Caenorhabditis elegans: one gene and its partner. The protein of the gene in region 1 purifies or fractionates together with the protein of each later gene. This does not show direct contact. Each region holds a gene or a part of one and is shown on either strand. Other genes may lie near its edges. The genes, in order: trm-2A and gfm-1.

Region 1 (9,697 bases):
TTTATGATCCTTATAGTCATGAGAATGAATAATTCGGCCTTTGAATTTTTCCTGTCCTGGCCATGGTTCGGGAATGTGTGGGATCGCGTGGTGTCCGGAGCAGATCATAACTCCGTCGAAGATCTTTTCGTGGAATTTTCCGGATCTGAAATTTGGAGAAATTGTGTAGGCTTTGGATTAGGCTTTGGTTTGGATTTAGGCTTAGGCTTAGGCCTAGGCTTAGGCTGAGGCTGAGGACGAGGCTTAGGCTTATGCTAGGTTTTTTTTTTAAGTTTTTTTTAGTCTTGTTAGGCTTAGGCACAGGCATAGGCTGAGACTTAGGGTTATGCTGAGGATTAGGCTCAGACTTTGGCTTAGTTTTAGGTTTAGTCGTAGGCTTAGACTGAGGCTTAGGCTTAGGCTGAATCTTAGGCTCCGTCTTAGGCTTAGGCTTATGCTTACATCACGGCTATCGTTTTTGGTTTTTTTGTTGGAAAAAATGATTTTCTGGTTTTTCGGACCAAAAGTCGAAAAGTCAAAAAAAAATAGCAGCATATAAATTTTTTGTATTTCGTTAAAAGCTTGTACCTACTTCACACTGTACCTACATCATGCCTACCTCTGCGCCTGCCGCCTATTTGAAGCCGACAGACCTACAATTATGAAAACTTACTCATCAGTGTACCGAACCTTCCATTTTCCAGTGGTACTGTAATCATGATTTCTCTCAATCGAAACCACACTATGATTGAGCTTAATATGCTTCAGAAGCCCATAATGCTCGGCGTAGCTCTTCAAATATCTGCACATTTCTCTGTTATGCATGAAGTTTGCCATAGTGTCTTCCGGCGGGAAATCCGAATATGCGGTCATTTCTTTGGACGTATTGATTACAGTCGACTTCATAACGGTTGACACTGAGAAAAATTGAGCTTGAATTTTTGAGAAAAAAAATTGACTTACGGTCCGTTTGATCGGGCTTAAAGTTCCACAGTCCTCCGATATCTCCGGATTTTTCGAAGCAGGTCACTTCGACGTTTGGGTGAAGCAGGGCATGTCTGGAAAAAATAGAAGTTTCAGTTTTTTTTGCGCGTAAAATGTGGTGTACTGCAGCTGTGAACCTCACCGCAATGCACTATATTTTACGCGCAAACTATTACGGAAACGCCAAAATTTTAAGAATGCGTATTGGACAACATAATTGACGCGCAAAATATCTTGTAGCGAAAACTACAGTAATTTTTTAAATGACTACTGAAGCGCACACGTTGATTTACGAGCTCGATTTTTGAAAAGTGACAGCGATATTACATTTAACTGTGTTTCTTAAAGGAGGGCGCATTTATGAGAAAGGGTCTCGCCACGCGCCATTCATTGATTTTTGGAGTGCGTGGCGGGACCATTTCGAAAAAATGCGCCCTCCTTTAAGGTCGTACGAGTGAAGAAAAAATGCACTGTAATTTCAAATTTAAAAAAAATTATTGATAAATAAACTTAAAACAAGTAAAAAAGTGAGCCCGTAAATTGACACAAGCGCTACAGTAGGAATTTAAAGGATTACTGTAGTTTTCGCTACGAGATATTTTGCGCGTCAATTATGTTGTCTAATACGCATTCTCAAAATGTAGTGTTTTATCTATTTTTCTCTTCAAAATGAAGTTTTATATTCAGATTTTCACATTTTTAGGCAAAATTTCAAGAAATTTTTCATTTTTATCACAAGAAAAAAACGGTTAGGGTATAAAATTGGTATTGCCTCGCACTTCTAAAAGAGAACCCACATACCTGATAGACGGGAGCCCGGAGGCTCCGGCACCGACCACAAGAAGTTGTTTTTTGGCTACCATTGTCGAAAAAAAAATCGTTACGATTTGATAACAAAACTGTCTTTTCCCAACGTATTTATAGTGCGGTGGGGTGATCAATTTGGGTAGACTGGCTATAACGAGAGATATGGAGTCTGGTGAGAGACGCAGACAGCGAGGGACTACTCGTGTGGTGAACGTGTTTGATCATGGTGCATCAGACTAGAAAAAGGTTGTCTCGTGAACCTTTTTTAACCTTTATGGCTAGAATTTAGTTCAGTCACATTTTAAAAAAGCAAAAGTGTAATTTCATGGTCTCACAGCGATTGAGATATTAGTGTGAAAATTATTTTTAATGATTTTTTTCCCATTTTTCTTTTCTATTCAATCAATAATGACTATTTTTAACAACCAATTCTGCTCAAAAACTAGGCGATTTTTACTTTCTCAGGCCACCTGCGCCACAGCGCCTTTGAAACGGATTTCGATTTTAATTACTACAGTAATCTCTCATTGGAGCGCGCTTGCAAAATTTGCAGTTCTTTTAATTTTTATACCAATTGATTTGATGAAGTTGGCTCAGAAACAGAAGATGAAAAAATGGTTTTTAGAAGAAAAACAGTAAATAATATTTTCAGCGATAAAATTGGTGACAAAATTTAATTGTAAAGTTTGAAAATATTGAATTTTACGTGAATTCTCCTGTTGTGCTGAAAATACATCCTTGCGGGACAGATCAATGGAAAAAAGTGGTTAACATTTTGTTTATATTCAAATTTTAGACTAACCTAGGCTGACCTAGCCTACCCCAGGCTGACCTAGCCTACCCCAGGCTGACCTAGCCTACCCCAGGCTGACCTAGCCTACCCCAGGCAGGCCTATCCTACCCCAGGCAGGCCTAACCTACCCCAGGCAGACCTAGTCTACCCTAGGCAACCTACCCCAGGCAGGCCTAACCTACCCCAGGCAGGCCTAACCTACCATAGGCAGACCTAGTCTACCATAGGCAGACCTAGTCTACCATAGGCAGACCTAGTCCACCCTGGGCAGACCTAGTCTACCCTAGGCAGACCTAGTCCACCCTGGGCAGACCAATTTTCAATTCCGGCAATTTTCCGGTTTGCCGATTTGCCGGAAATTTCCAATTTCATCGACATTCTGAAGTAATATAGCTTAAACTCCACCAATACTGTTTATTTTATATCAGTTTTGCGTTCAAATTGTATCGAAAAAACTCCTTTTTAAACACCCTCCGTTTTAATTCTCAATAGAGCGCGCTTGCCGAAGAGGCGGTGTACTCCTCTCGGACACCTGCGATAATTGTTGTTTTTGATTTATATTCTAGATTTTCCCCGAAAAATTCCGGTTTTCCTTCTTTTTGAATGGTTTTTTACACTAAAAGTCGCATAAAAAAGCTTTAAAACCTTTAAAAATCGATAAATAATCAAGTTTTCCAGGTAAAATGGCGGATCCGGTCGATATTAAGACGGAAACTCCGGAGTTAACTCCAGAAGTCAAAGAAGAAAAGGCAATCGATTTGGATCGGATTCATATTAAGAATATCCCAACATTTATCGGATTCAAGCAGTTCAAGAAAGTATTGGAAAAGTGGGATTTTTTTTCGATTTTTTAATTAAAAAATTGATTTTTTAATTAAAAAAATTGATTTTTTTTCCTTTTTCCAGAATCCTCGGCGACGTAAAATCGAAAAAAGTGCGCCATATGTCAGATTACGCCTATGTGACGTTCGAAACCCCAGAGGACGCCCAAAAAGCTATAAATCTAGTCGATGGCTATGACTACAAGAAATTCATACTGTCAGCGCAGCTAGCAGCCACAGAAGTCAAATCTTTCCGTCCGGCTAACCCGGAAAATACCGAGCCAGCTCAGCAGAAAACCGCCCGTGAAAGTGTAACTCCGCTCGCCGAGATGGAATACGGGAAGCAGTTGGAGTTGAAGCAGCAGAATAGTGTGGGCGTCGTTGAAAAGTTGTACCGGCAGCTAATTCAGAATAAAGTTGCACATTTGGGCAAACAGACTCAATTCCGAGATCGTGTTCTTCGGGAAATTCTCCCCGCACCGAAAACCGCCGGTTATCGAAATAAATGTGAATTTACAATTGGTCACGATTTGAATGGAGAAATTTGCGTGGGATTCGTCGGCGGAAGATTCTCGAAAAATCAGCATTTTGTGATACCGCCCGTCGACGTGGATATTGTCAGCACACAGATGATGGCGATCGTTGGGGATGTGCATGAATTTGTGAAAGAATCGGCGTTGGAGCCATTTAATGAGTTTGATAGGAAAGGATTCTGGCGGATGCTGACGATTCGGGAATTTGGAGGAGATGTTATGCTGATTTTTACGGTTTTTCCGCTGGAGGATGGCGTGGAGAGGATGGAAGAGATTCAGAAGAAGATTGAGACGAGATTTTTGGATTTTGAGTGCGATTTTCTCATTTTTTAGGAAAATTTCCAATTTTTCAGAAGAAAAATGACCAAAATTGAAAATTTTATGTTTGAAACAAAAAAAAATCGATTTTTTCGTCAAACGCACAAAATTTCTCATTTCATTGATATAAAAATGTGGAAAAAAGTGCGTTCTAACTGAAAATAACATTTATTTCTGTTAAAAAACTTATAAATGCCTCAAATAGTCTATTTTTGGTCTTTTCAAGCTTTTCAACAAAAATAAATGCTATTTTCAGTTAGAATGGACCATTTTCTATGTTTTTATATGAATTTTTGAAGAACTTTTAAGTTTCTGAAAATTCCCGGAAAAAATATTTGAAAATCTTCTTACAAACTTTTTTTTTGCAACTTTTTCACGGAAAATATGCAAATTTACCATAAAATTCAATTTTTATCAACCAAAAGTTTGAAATATGTTTCAAAAAATCGAAATTTTTTGTTTTTTCCAACAAAAATTTGTAATTTTTGCAGAAAAAAAAACAGAAAATTTAACAAAAAATTGCTTTGGAAAAAACCGAAAATTTCAGAAAAAAAACCGTCTATTACAGGATCACAAAATTCTGAAAATGCGTACTGGGCAACATATTTGACGCGCAAAATATCTCGAAGCGAAAACTACATTAATCTTTTTAAGGACTACTGTAGCGCTTGTGTCGATTTACGGGCTCGATTTTCGAAAATATTTTCTTGTGAGTTTTGACGAATATTTAAAAAAAAAGTGAAAATCGCTAAGAAAACGGTTTCGAAAATCGAGCCCGTAAATCGACACAAGCACTACAGTAGTCATTTAAAAGATTACTGTAGTTTTCGCTACGAGATATTTTGCGCGTCAAATATGTTGCAAAATACGCATTCTCAGAATTTTTGTGTTTCCGTGTTCAAATGGATCAGGTTTGTAACGACATTTTCAAATAATTTTTCGGGAATTTTCTGAAATTTATAAATTCTCTCAAAACTCATATAAAAATGTAGAAAAAGGTTCGTTTCAACTGAAAATATTATTAATTTTCGTTGAAAAGCTTGAAAAATGCCTCAAATAGCCTATTTGTGGTTTTTTTAAAGCTTTCACACAAAAATTAATGTTATTTTCAGTTGGAACGAACCTTCTTCTGCCTTTTTATATGAGTTTGAAGATAATTTTTGAATTTCAGAAAATTCTCGAAAAATTATTGGAAAATCTGCTTACAAACCTGGTTCGATTTAACACAAAACCAAAAAATTATGAAAGTGCGTACTGGGCAACATATTTGACGCGCAAAATATCTCGTAGCGAAAACTACAGTAATCCGTTAAATGACTACTGTAGCGTTTGTGTCGATTTACGGGCTCGATTTCCGAATTGTTTTTTTTTTTCGAAAGTCAAGCCCGTTAATCGACACAAGCGCTACAGTAGTCGTTTAACGGATTACTGTATTCTTCGCTACGAGACCCTATTTTGCGCGTCAAATGTGTTGTGCAATACGCATTCTCAGAATTTTTGTGCTCCCGTAATACAATCAAAAACCCCATACCTTAAAATTTTTCAGAACATTCAAGGAGAAAAAGTACCGAGTGTGTAGTATCTATTGGCAACAAATGGTTCATATCAGTGATACACCGAACTTCAAGCTGATCGGTGGAACTCCGTACATTTATGAATCTCTGTTGGACTGCCGATTCCGAGTATCACCGCCAGCGTTTTTCCAGACGAATAGCCAGGCGGCGGCGGTTCTCTACTCGACGATTGGAGAGCATTGTGGGCTCAGTGAAAAGGTTCTTGAAGAATCTGCGATTTTATTATTGAAAAGCGCATTAAAAATGCCGAGAAAACGCGCTCCACGGCCAATTGAATACGCCCCGCCCCCAAGCCAAGGGTCTCGTTAGGTTTTCAGTGATTTTCGCTGTTTATTTGGTGTTTTAAATGAATTTTGTGTCAAAAATAATGAAATCAATTTTTTAACAGGATTTTACATGATTTCCACCTAGAAATTATTATTTTTAATGATTTTCTGCAGAAAATAATAATTTTTACTAAAAATCAATATTTTTCTATGATTTTTACCCAAAAAATCAGGTTTTTTTCTATTAATTTTGCCTAAAAATCATTATTTTAAATTTTTTCCCCAGAAAAGCTTTTCTTTCCATAAAACCAGAATTATTCTATGATTTTCACCCATAGAATCAGTATTTTTAACTAAAATCAGAATTTAAACATTTAGGATTCCCCGATGATTTCTACCCGAAAAATCAATATTTTTCAATAATTTTTACCCGAAAAATCAGGTTTTTTAATGTTTTTCCCAGAAAATCATAATTTTTACCTGAAAACTAGGATTTTTGATGATTTTCACTCAAAAATCAGCATCTTCATTAATTTCATCAATTTCAGCAAAAAAATCATTAAAAACCACTGAAAAAATGACAAAAAATGCTTGAAAATTGGCGAAAATTTCCGGTTTTCCCGCCAAAAAAATCAAAATATTGATTTTTAGTAAAAATTATTATTTTCTGCAGAAAATCATCAAAAATAATAATTTTAGGTGGAAATCATGTAAAATCCTGTTGAAAAATTGATTTCATTATTTTTGACACAAAAATAATTTAAAACATTAAATAAATAACGAAAATCACTGAAAACCTAACGAGACCCATGGCTTGGGGGCGGAGCTTTTTCAATTCGCTGTGGAGCGCGTTCACACGCCGAATTTTGAAAAATGCTCAAAAATTTCAATTGTTTCTTAATTTTTGACTGAAAATCTGCAAAATCGATGAAATAAAAAGTGAAAATAGTTTTTTTTCTCCAGAAAACCAACGAAGATGTTCCAGTGGAAACTGATGCATCGGAAAAAGCCCCAGAAGCTCCAGCAGCACCTTCAGAGCCCATCCCCGACGATCCATCCGATGCTCCTCCGGCAAAGATCCCGAGAATCGAGCCGGAGCCCACTGCAGCAGATGAAGCACCTGCTCCAGAAGATCCCGGAACCATCCTTCTTGACATTTGCTGTGGAACCGGAACGATCGGTCAATGCCTTCTGAAAAATATTCAAAAATCGCAAAAAGTGTGCTGCATCGGAATTGAAATGATCGCCGAAGCGGTGGAGGACGCCAAACAAAATGCGAAACAGAATAAAATGGAAACATGCTGTAAATATATTGCTGGAAAAGCCGAGGACACATTCCGATCGATGAGATATCATCTGCCGAATGGTTTTGATCTACGAAAATCGAGAGTGGTCGGAGTGCTCGATCCACCGAGAGCCGGAATGCACGAGAAGGTTATTCTCGCGTGTAGAGAGGTTCGAATATTTGGATTTTAGAAATTCCAAAAATTACCTTTAAAACTTGTAGATTTACGCGTAAATTTTTTTAAAAATAGGAATCGAGGGTGTTCGTTTTTCGATTTTTTAAAAAATTATTTTATCGTTGTTTCGATTTATCAAAAATTAGCTTAACATTTTGGCTATTATTCTTCTTTTTAGAAGAAATTGTTATGTTTTTTCTTACCAATATAATCAATTTTTTTAAATCATAGTTTATGGTTAATTTTCTGAACATTTTTTTCGATTTTTCAATTTTCACTGAAAAACATCAACAAATCTTTAAAAAATGCCGCTTTTGATAGGAATATATTATTCAGACGCGAAATTTCGGGGTTTTCGCGACTTCCCGGTCTCGACACGACAAATTTTTGCGTGCGCCTTTAAAGGTGGTGTACCGAAATCTGAAAAAAAATTTCAAATGACTCCAAATTTTCACCTGATTCCGAATAATTATGTTAAAAAATCCGAAAAAAATTTCCCAGATGTTATATTACCGCTTGAAATCGAGAATTTTCGCGCCAGAGACGCCATATGTCGATTTACGAGATTTGTGTATATTTACGAAATGTTTATTTTATATCGGATGCTGTTTTTCGTTTTTCAATGAGTTTTCTTCGTTTTCGGCGGTTTTTTGTTTGGAAATGTATGTTTTAAGGTCAATTGAACATTCTTTTTAATCAAAAAATTAGAACATTTTCCATAAAAAATTTTTGCTCGTTTTTTTGATACGAAAATGTTTAATTGACCTGAAGAAACACATTTTCGAAAAAAAAACCGCCGAAAATTAAGGAAATTCATTGAAAAAAAAGGAAATCAGCATCGGATAAAGATTAAACATTTCGTAAATATACACAAATCTCGTAAATCGACACGTGACGTCTCTGGCGCAAAAATTCTCGATTTCAAGCTGAAATATAAAATCTGGGAAATTTTTTTTTTTAATTTTTTAATCATAAATATTCGTAATCAGTGGAAAATTTGAAATCTGAAAATATTTTGATAATATTTTCCAGATTTCAGTACCAAGGGTGTCAGTTTATCGAATAAGAAAAAGTTGAAAAACGAAAATTTTTCGATTTTCAAAAATTAGCTTAAAAATTTGTTTAAAAGTTTTTTCGATTTTCCCACGTGGGGTGTCAGAGTGTCCCACATCGGTGTGATCTACAAGAAATGCGGGAATTCCGACGCGCTGACTTCTCAACACATTTCTTATGGTTAAGAGCGAGATGACGTCACATTTTTCTGAGAAAAAATTCCCGCATTTTTTGTAGATCACACCGATATGGGACACTCTGGCACCACGTGCTTTTCGGTTTTTCGAAAGAAAAAACCGGCAGTCCTGGCCTGTAACACCTGAAAACGGTTTTTTTTGCTCCAGATGGAAACAATGCGTCGTCTGATCTTTGTCTCGTGTGAACCAAACGCCGCCATCTCCAACATCGTGAATCTGTGCCGTCCGTCGTAAGTGTATTGCACACACCTAGCACAGTCTTATCTCACTACAATCTAAATGTGATAAGACTGTGTGTTTTTCTCTCCGTCTCCCTATCTCTCTCTCTCTCTCTCTCTCTCTCTCTCTCTCTCTCTCTCTCTAAAACCAATTCATTTATAGGTCTCGAAAATACACTGGAGACGCGTTTTCGGTGACCCGTGTGCAGCCGGTCGACATGTTCCCGCAGACGAATCATATGGAGTGGATTATTCAATTGGATCGTTAATTTTTGCAATTTTATTGTTGTTTTTTTTTCGTTGTTAAATTTTATATTATAGAAGCGCAGAAAAATGCCTTTTTTTTGAAGTTGGCGAGGAAACGCGCTCCACGGAGAACGGGTCTTGTTGGGTATTTTTCGTTGTTTTCTTGATTTCTATGCCAAAATTGATGTAAAAATTGATTTTCAACCGAAAATTAATTTTCAAAACTCCATTTCGACCTGAAAATCATGATTTTCAGGTCGAAATGGGGTTTTAAAAATTAATTTTCAGTTGAAAAATCAATTATTTTCACTAATTTTGGCATAAAAATTAAGAAAACAACGAAAATGCCACAAAAATAATGTCTTTTAAGTTTTACAATTTACAAGGTTTTTCCATGAATTTCGGCTTAAAAATTAATAAAAATGCTTGAAAATCGATGGGTTTTCCG
Region 2 (8,916 bases), on another chromosome or scaffold:
ATTTTTCGAAATTTTTCGACATTTATTTTGAATTTTTTGCATTTTTTCGCATTTTTCTACATCACATGATTAACCCCATATATAGGAATGCTAGAGCTTACGCATTATCATTCGTAAGCATACTTCCTCTTTTCTGGAACAATCCGAATTCCACCAGAGGTGCGAAGATCTGCTCCATCACCAAATCCAAATGCGCTTTGATCCGAATCGTCGGAGAATCAAGCCACGAGATCAGAACATGTGATGCAAGGAGCACAATTCGTCGGCTCATACAAGAAACTCCAGTTAATGCTTTTACAAGCCAATCTGTTCCGGCCATTTCTAGGACTAATAGCGGTTCGGTTAAGCTGAACTCCAGGAAAAGGCCGACGCACGGGAGGGTTAATCTAAAAATTGGAAAATTTATTAATTTTTTTCAACGGGAAATCGAATCCAATCCAGGCTTACTTGTCTTTTCCCGTAGTCTGTTGACCTTCAAATGCTGACAATGCGATGGAGATGATGGGTTGCATGATGGACTTGGGGAATGCATATTTTCTGAAAAAAAAAGAATGCGTATTGCACAGAATATTTGACGCGCAAAATATCTCGTAGCGAAAAACTACAGTAATTCTTGAAATGACTACTGTAGCGTCTGTGTCGATTTACGGGCGATTTTCTCCCGTAAATCGACACAAGCGTTACAGTAGTCATTTCAAGAATTACTGTAGTTTTCGCTAAGAGATATTTTGCGCGTCAAAAGATTTAGGTACATTTCGATGTGCCAACCGAAAAAGAAAACCGATTATTTTTAAATATTCAGTGCAAAATTGAAAAAAAAAATTTTTAACTTTAGATTTTCCCAAAATCTACAGCTTTTTCTAGAATTTTTCAGATTTTTACAGAAAATTTTGTATCATTTTTTTTCAGATTTTCAAGTTTTTTTTTGGAATTTTTCTGGAATTTTTCAAGTTTTTCAAGCTTTTTTAAAATTCATTTTGAAATTTTCAGAGTTTTTTGAATTTATTCTGAAATTTTTCAGGTTTTTCAAGAGTTTTTTAAAAAGATTATTTTGAATTTATTCCGAAATTTTTAGATTTTTTTTGAATTTATTCTAAAATTTTTAGAGTTTATTTTTAACACTTATTCTGAAATTTTTAGAGTTGTTTAAATTTATACTGAAATTTTTAAATTTTTTTAACATTTATTCTAAAATTTTTAAACTTTTAAAAAATTACTTCTGGAGATTTTCAGATTTTTTAAAGTTTTCCACCGAAAATTCTGAGTTTTTACAAAAAAAAATCACAAACACCATTATAAAATCAGATTTTAACGTACAAATGTTCTGCAACTTTTCAGATTTATTCTGCAACGACCAGATTTGATAAAAAATTTATTTAAAATATCTCTTTGGTGATTTCAAAAAATTTAGTTTCCCGCCGCTTGTCAAGCCGGCTAAATTCCAAATTTTACCAAATTTTGTGAATTTTCGATCATTTTTTTCCAGAAAATTGAAGTTAAATTTAGCATACTTTCCGTTTTTCTGCGCCGCCGAGGAGTCTATCAGCTTCTTGAGATTGGATTTCTCGTAGATTTTAAGCATCCAAATAATTAACTTGAAAGCTTCCAATCGTTCCGTTTGATTTTCCATTTGTAAATCAATTGCGCGAACGATAAAAATATCCACGTGAGTTGTAAGGATTACAACTAGATTCCGCTCGTTTATCGTACATTTTCGAACCATATGGAAGCACATTGCACGGATACACGGGTGATCGTCGGGTAGGAATTTTAACACTCTGAAAAATGGGGAATTTTTATTATATGTTAAATCTCAGATTAGTTTTCACAACTTACAACTGACAAATATCCTCAAAAAACTCGTTATCCGTCAGCGATTCCACTGTGGTTTCCAAAATCGTCCTGGAAATTCCATTCAAAAATTCACATTTCTCTTCGTAAGTTGCTTTTGTGTACGAATCGGCGCCTCGGATCAGTTTCTGCACATCTTCACGGGCTCGGAATCTTTCTCGTCGTTTTTCACTGGTTTCGCTTACTTTTTCTGGAAAATTTTAATATTAAAATGCTCATCATAATTCAAGCTGAAAAAAAAACTAACTAGCTCGAGTTTTGACTCTGATGCTCTCCCGGATTTCCTGTATCCTCTGTGTATTGTTTTCGCCTCTGTGATACACTTTTCGACGAGTGTCCATCGCCTGAAAATTGAAATTTTTCATGAAAATAGCGGGGGAAACGAGACAGGACACGGGGAAAAAGTACTGCAATTGATAAGAATAGTGGAATTAGAGAGAGCAGAAAAGTGGTTAAATATGCTCTTTCGCTCGGCCACCGGGTTACTGTAGCTAGCTGCGTAGGAAATAATAGAAATAATATATTTCCGTCGAAAAGAGTATTTAAAAGATTATTTCTTTCAGTTAAAACCCGTTATTTCAACATTATTTAATGATGCAATACCACATTGCTGGTTACAAAGCGTTTTTCAAATTTCCAATAAACAAAAACATGAAATTCTTGGAAAACTCTGCATTTCTCAAGCAACTCGAAATAAATCAATATTAAAACTTGATGATTCTGTTCTTTTCTTTACTAAAAATTGAAAAAACGAACGGAAAACAACGAGAGAGTTCTTTAAAAAATATATAAGAAATATCTGAAAGTCGAGTGAGAAAAACATGTTTTTTTGGAAGAGCGACTGCCCCGAAATGCTAGGCCACGCGTCGCGTACTCCTCTCGGATAACGATTTTATGGCATCATTTTTTGTTAATTAATAAAATTAAACGTTTTAAATGCACTTTTCCAATATTATTTTTATTTTAAAAATTTAAAAATTATTTAAGTGAAAATCTTTGAAAATTTAACATCTAAACTTCAGGTAATACACAATGAGTCCTCTCGGGAGGTTCTCTGCAGTGGCGCAAAGCCGTCGGCAGGTAATTTATTTATTTTTAAATTATTTTAATAGTTTTTTTTAAATGAATTTTTCAGCTAAACAACGTCCTCCGACGATTCGCATCCAACGAAGCGCCGTCGTCCGTCGTCGTACCAGGAGTCCGGCCAATTGAACGAATCAGAAATATTGGTTTGGCGTTTAATCCTAATTTTTGATCAAAATCTTGATTTAAAACACAAATTTCCAGGTATTTCTGCTCATATTGATTCGGGAAAGACGACTGTCACAGAAAGAATCTTGTATTATGCCGGAAGAATCGACTCGATGCACGAAGTTCGCGGAAAAGACGACGTCGGAGCCACAATGGATTTTATGGATCTCGAACGACAGCGGGGGATCACTATTCAGTCGGCGGCTACCTATGTGGATTGGCACGGAACTAATATTAATATTATTGATACACCAGGCCACGTGGATTTCACAGTTGAAGTCGAGCGGGCTCTTCGTGTTCTCGATGGAGCCGTACTTGTTCTGTGCGGAGTTGGAGGTGTCCAGTCGCAAACGTTCACTGTTAATCGTCAACTGGCTCGCTACAATGTTCCGTTCATCTGTTTCGTGAATAAAATGGATCGGAATGGAGCGACTCCTCTGAAAGCTCTAGATGGCCTCCGGAATAAATTGAACCATAACGCGGCGCTCATTCATTTACCAATTGGGAAAGACTCAAATTTCAATGGAATCGTCGATTTGGTAGAAGGACACGCGTTGTATTATGAGGGTGAAGGTGGACTTATTGTGAGAAAGGACGAGATTCCAAAGGATTTGAGGGTGGAAGCAGAAGATAGACGTCAGGAGCTCATTGAGCATATTGCCAATGTTGATGAGACTCTTGGAGAAATGTTCTTGAACGATCAGACGCCAAATGTTCAACAGATTCATGAAGCTATTAGAAGAACTGTTGTCAAGGTTGAATAATTATTAAAGCGCGCTTGCTATCAGATTATTCAGATTTACTCGTGGTGCTAATATGTCCCATTACGGTTTGATCTACAAAAAATGCGGGAATAAAAATGCACAAAACCAAAGAAAAAACATTTTTTATCCACTAAAAATTTCAAAAATCACCAGCTTTTTTCTAGAATTTTTCAAATTTTCTCTGGAAATTTTCTATCGTTTTTTTTTAATTTTCAGAATTGTTAAGATTTTTTTTGTATTTATTCTGATATTGTTAGATTTTTTTTTTTGAAAAAAATCTAAAAATTTCAGAATAAATTCTGAAAAATATAAAAAAATTCAAAAAAATCTTTTAAAAAATTCAGAAAAGTTCAAAAAAATCTAAAAATTCCATTTTTTTTTCCTGGAATTTTTCAGATTTTTAAAAATTTATTCTGAAATTTTTAGATTTTTTAAAAATTTTCTCTGGAAATTTTCTATCGTTTTTTTTTAATTTTCAGAATTGTTAAGATTTTTTTTGAATTTATTCTGAAATTGTTAGATTATTTTTTGACAAAAAATCTAAAAATTTCAGAATAAATTCAGAAAAAATATTAAAAAAATTCAGAAAAATTAAAAAAAATCTTTTAAAAAATTCAGAAAAATTCTAAAAAAAATCTAAAAATTCCATTTTTTTCCCTGGAATTTTTCAGATTTTTTTCGAATTTTTTCTGTAATATGGTTTGACTTTGAAGAAATCAACGAGATTTTTCTTATTTTCTAAATATTTTTCTATTAAAAATCGGTTTTTAACAATTTTTGACCCTAATGTTAAGTCAAAAATGTATTAAAACCGATTTTTTATAGCGAAATATTTAGAAAATAGGAAAAATCCCGTTGATTTCTTCCAGTGGACGAAAACGCTTAATTTTAGTCATTTTAAATTCGATTTTCACTGTTTAACAATAGGTTTTGTTCGCAAAATGCAGAAACAAAAAACAATTTTGAAGCTAAAAATTTGATAATTCTGCCATTTTCAGTGGAAAGACAAAACTCCGCGGATGCAGAATAGCGAAGCGTAGCAAGAGCGTGCATAACAATAAACTTGAACAAAAAATTAATAAAATCAATATTTTGTTCCAGCGTGCATTCGTCCCAGTCCTCTCCGGATCCGCTTTAAAGAACAAAGGAGTTCAAACAATGATCAATTCCGTCGTCAAATACCTTCCAGATCCATCTGAAGTCGTTAACAGAGCCACTGTAAAAACGGAAACCACCGGAGATGAAAAAGGAATCATTCTCTCGCCAAAACGAAACAATGATAAGCCATTCGTCGGGCTTGCCTTCAAGCTGGAAGCAGGAAAGTACGGCCAACTCACCTATTTCCGAGTCTACCAGGGACAATTAAGCAAAGGAGACACTGTTTATGCATCGAGAGACGGTAGAAAAGTACGTGTGCAGAGATTGGTTCGGATGCATGCTGCTGATATGGAAGAGATCACTACTGCTTATGCTGGAGATATTTGTGCGACTTTTGGACTTGACTGCCATTCTGGAGAGACTTTTTCGACGGATCAGAATCTTGCTCCGCATTGTGTAGGTTTTGATGCTTCACTGCAACTTTTTTCGAACGAGGGACGAGGCAAAAAGGTTTCTTGGCCATGGCCGAGTCCCCGACAAATTTCAGCGGCCATTTATCTTGCTTTGTTTTCTGCGTGTTTTATTTCGTTTTTCACCGATTTTTTCCGTTTTTTCTTATCAAAACTAATAAATAAATATTTTTTGCAGATGCTAAAACAATTTCCAAGTGAAAAAATTGTGAATTCAGTCGGCAAGTAGCGGTAAAAGTGGTCAATGTAATATGATGGATTACGGGAATAAAAAACCCAAACTTTTTCCCAAACGTGATACATATGCTGTTTAGATGCTAAAAGTACCTGATTTTCATAACGAGACCGCTGAAAAAGTTTTGAGATTTTCAAAATTCAACTTTTTTTGTGAAAAAGTCGAGATTTTGGCACAAAATGTTGAATTTTGAAAATCTCAAAACTTTTTTAGCTGTCTCGTTATGAAAATCAGGTAGCTTCAGCATTTAAGCAGCATATGTATCATGTTTCAGAAAAAGTTTGGGTTTTGTATAGCCGTAATCCATCATATTACATTGCCCACTTTCACTGCTACTTGCCGACTGAATTCACAATTTTTTCACTTGGAAATTGTTTTAGCATCTGCAAAAAATATTTATTTATTAGTTTTGATATGAAAAAACGGAAAAAATCGGTGAAAAACGAAAGAAAACACGCAGAAAACAAAGCAAAATAAATGGCCGCTGAAATTTGTCGGGGACTCGGCCATGGCCTAGAAACCTTTTTGCCTCGTCCCTCGTTCGAAAAAAGTTGCAGTGCATGCTTTTTGCCTTAATAATATTAAAAATTTCCAGGAATCAATGCACATCCCGGAGCCAGTTATCTCGATGGCCATCAAACCAGTAAACCGAAAAGATGCCGACAATTTTATTAAGGCGCTGACGCGATTCACAAAGGAAGATCCAACATTCCGACGAGAATATAATCAAGAAGCGAAGGAAACGATTGTTTCTGGAATGGGAGAGCTTCATTTGGAAATTTATGCTCAGCGTATGAAGAGTGAATATAATTGTCCTGTGGAGCTGGGAAAACCTACAGTTGCATACAGAGAGTGCTTGGGTAGCCCTTATAAGTGAGTGAAAAAAAACATTTAAAAAAAATATATATATAAATGAAATTTCAAATTGCAGATTCCACTTCCGTCACAAAAAACAAACCGGAGGACAGGGACAATTCGGAGAAATCGAAGGAGTCATTGATCCACTACCATCTGATCGCAATACTGTCGTTGAATTCTCCGACGAGACATTCGGAAACAATATCCCGAAGAATCTGTTCCCGGCTCTCAAGAAGGGTCTCGACGCGATTGTCGCCGAGGGTCCACTTATCAAGTCTAGAATCGCTGGAATTCATGTTCGGATCCAAGATGGTTCAACTCATGCTGTAGACTCCACGGAAATCGCTATGATCAATACAATGCAAAACATGATGCGTGAATCATTCGAAAAAGCGAATTGGCTGCTCCTCGAGCCAATTATGAAAGTAGAAGCTACAGTTCCAACGGAATTCCAGGGAAATGTAGTGACATCACTCACCCAGAGAAATGCACTGATCACCACCACCGATTCGACGGAAGGATACGCGACTGTGATCTGTGAAGCTCCACTGTCGGACATGTTCGGATACACTTCAGAGCTACGATCGTTAACGGAAGGAAAAGGAGAATTCAGTATGGAATATTCAAGATATGCACCTACAACACTGGAAGCTCAAGATCGAGTACAAGCAGAGTGGAGGCAGTTGCATGGAATTGCTGATCCGAATGAGAAGGGAAAGAAGAAGAAGAAGTAGATCTGTTAATTTAGGGTTTTTTCATGTTCTGTAGATTAGTTTTTTTTTACTCTTGTTTTGTTGTTTTCATTCATTTGTTAAGATTTTTAGATCATTCATTAAATTTTTGCGAGCTTTTGTATTTTAATATGAAAAATTCAAAATTCAGAAACACTACAAACAATTGTGATGGATCAGACCTATTGGGCCGTTCCGCAGATCGACAAATTGCCAATTTGCCGGATTTAAAGATTCTTTATTTGAACTATTTGAAATTATTATTAATTAATCGATTTGAAGTTTGAAGTGGTAGGATTATTTCATCGTCAGATATCCTTCGTACCAGCAGTACTGGGCCAAGATCCGAAATTGATCACCTGAAAGTTATTCATATAAGTTTCTATTAACTAGACGTCTAAAAATGAGAATTATCGCCAGAAATGGGTCTCGCCACGAAACGAGTGACTGTAACTCGTTTCGATTTATGGGTCGCTATTGAATCATTTTTTCGAAAAAGCAATTTTCCATTTAATTTATAAGAAAACTGATGGAATAGCGGCGCAAAAATCGACACCAGTAATTTCTACAGTAACCCGTTGTCCGCGTGGCGAGACCCAAAATCCTCAAATTTATTTTTTTTTTTTACGTATTAGCTTCAAAATTGTTTTTTTTTCTGCATTTTGCGAACAAAACCTTTTGTTAAACCTACGCCTAAACATGAACCTGAGAAGAAGGCTAAGCCGAGGCCTAAGCCAAATAATATCTGTTTCAATAAAAGTGTATTATTATCAAAGAGAATTCCAATAAAAATTAATTGAAATCGGAAAATAATTCCTCAAAAACTACAGTAGACGAACTACGGTAGACGACGAAGTACGTAATGCACACAATGCATTCTAAATGACGAGCAAACTGTTTTGATGCAATTTCGTTTATTTTTTCTCACTTTTCAGTGAAATTTCAAGCGTTTTTATCAGAAAAATGTTGGTAAATTCAAGAAAAGTGTTTTTTGAAACTTTTAACAAGCTGATAATTTTACTATGTAGTTCAATTTTGAGACAATTTTTCTGATTTTCACTCGCTTCGTTGATTTCAGAGCTGCATTGAATGAAATTCTCTGAATTTTGTCAAATTGTTGCTTATTTTCTTCTCAACTTCAAATGTTTTAAATTTCAGAAAATTCTTTTCATGGCCGCTGCTCACAAGGTATTCGAGCTTTCGCACGTTTTCAAGGACGTTTCAAAAATAGGAGATGACGAGTCTGTGTGCAGTCCAAATGAAGATTATTTTGGTGTTCCCTGGTCAGTTAAATATGAGTAATATGCGATAAACCCTCAATTTATAAATTTCAGGAAAATCGTTCTTCGTCACAAAGATGAAAAAATGGGTGTCTTCCTCAGTTGTGAAAAACCGTCAAACAATGATGCTCATTGCATTGTGAATGTAGTCTACTCTGTGAAACTCATGTCTTCTTCAGGCGTATGCTATATAAAATCTGATTCAAAGCTATTCGGAGAAATAACAGAACATGGATGGGTGAATTTCGTGAATTGGAACACGATGGTTGATGCTTTCCTGATCGATGACAGTATTATTATTGAAGTGTTGGTAAAAACCATATTTATGTCGGGATTACCGAAGAAATCTCCGAAAAACTTTGATGAATCGAATAAAGA

The links.
Region 2: the proteins of trm-2A (region 1) and gfm-1 fractionate together in Caenorhabditis elegans (co-fractionation; one large-scale study listed by BioGRID). This does not show direct contact.

Annotation. Positions count from the first base shown.
Region 1 is NC_003283.11:901,722-911,418, forward strand, and holds the start of trm-2A (tRNA (uracil(54)-C(5))-methyltransferase), read left to right. Parts: upstream 1-3,241; 5' UTR 3,242-3,246; coding exon 3,247-3,392; intron 3,393-3,469; coding exon 3,470-4,228; intron 4,229-5,781; coding exon 5,782-6,007; intron 6,008-7,038; coding exon 7,039-7,530; intron 7,531-8,932; coding exon 8,933-9,015; intron 9,016-9,166; coding exon 9,167-9,272; 3' UTR 9,273-9,697. Other genes in the region: fmo-5 (Flavin-containing monooxygenase), read right to left, coding at 1-145, 653-896, 943-1,037, 1,765-1,826.
Region 2 is NC_003280.10:13,114,610-13,123,525, forward strand, and holds gfm-1 (Elongation factor G, mitochondrial), read left to right. Parts: upstream 1-2,873; 5' UTR 2,874-2,883; coding exon 2,884-2,931; intron 2,932-2,986; coding exon 2,987-3,080; intron 3,081-3,138; coding exon 3,139-3,857; intron 3,858-4,967; coding exon 4,968-5,420; intron 5,421-6,264; coding exon 6,265-6,542; intron 6,543-6,600; coding exon 6,601-7,261; 3' UTR 7,262-7,407; downstream 7,408-8,916. Other genes in the region: rict-1 (RICTOR_N domain-containing protein), read right to left, coding at 102-386, 448-537, 1,512-1,778, 1,837-2,041, 2,099-2,192; bath-45 (BTB and MATH domain-containing protein 45), read left to right, coding at 8,429-8,541, 8,593-8,916. UniProt on the Caenorhabditis elegans protein: Mitochondrial GTPase that catalyzes the GTP-dependent ribosomal translocation step during translation elongation.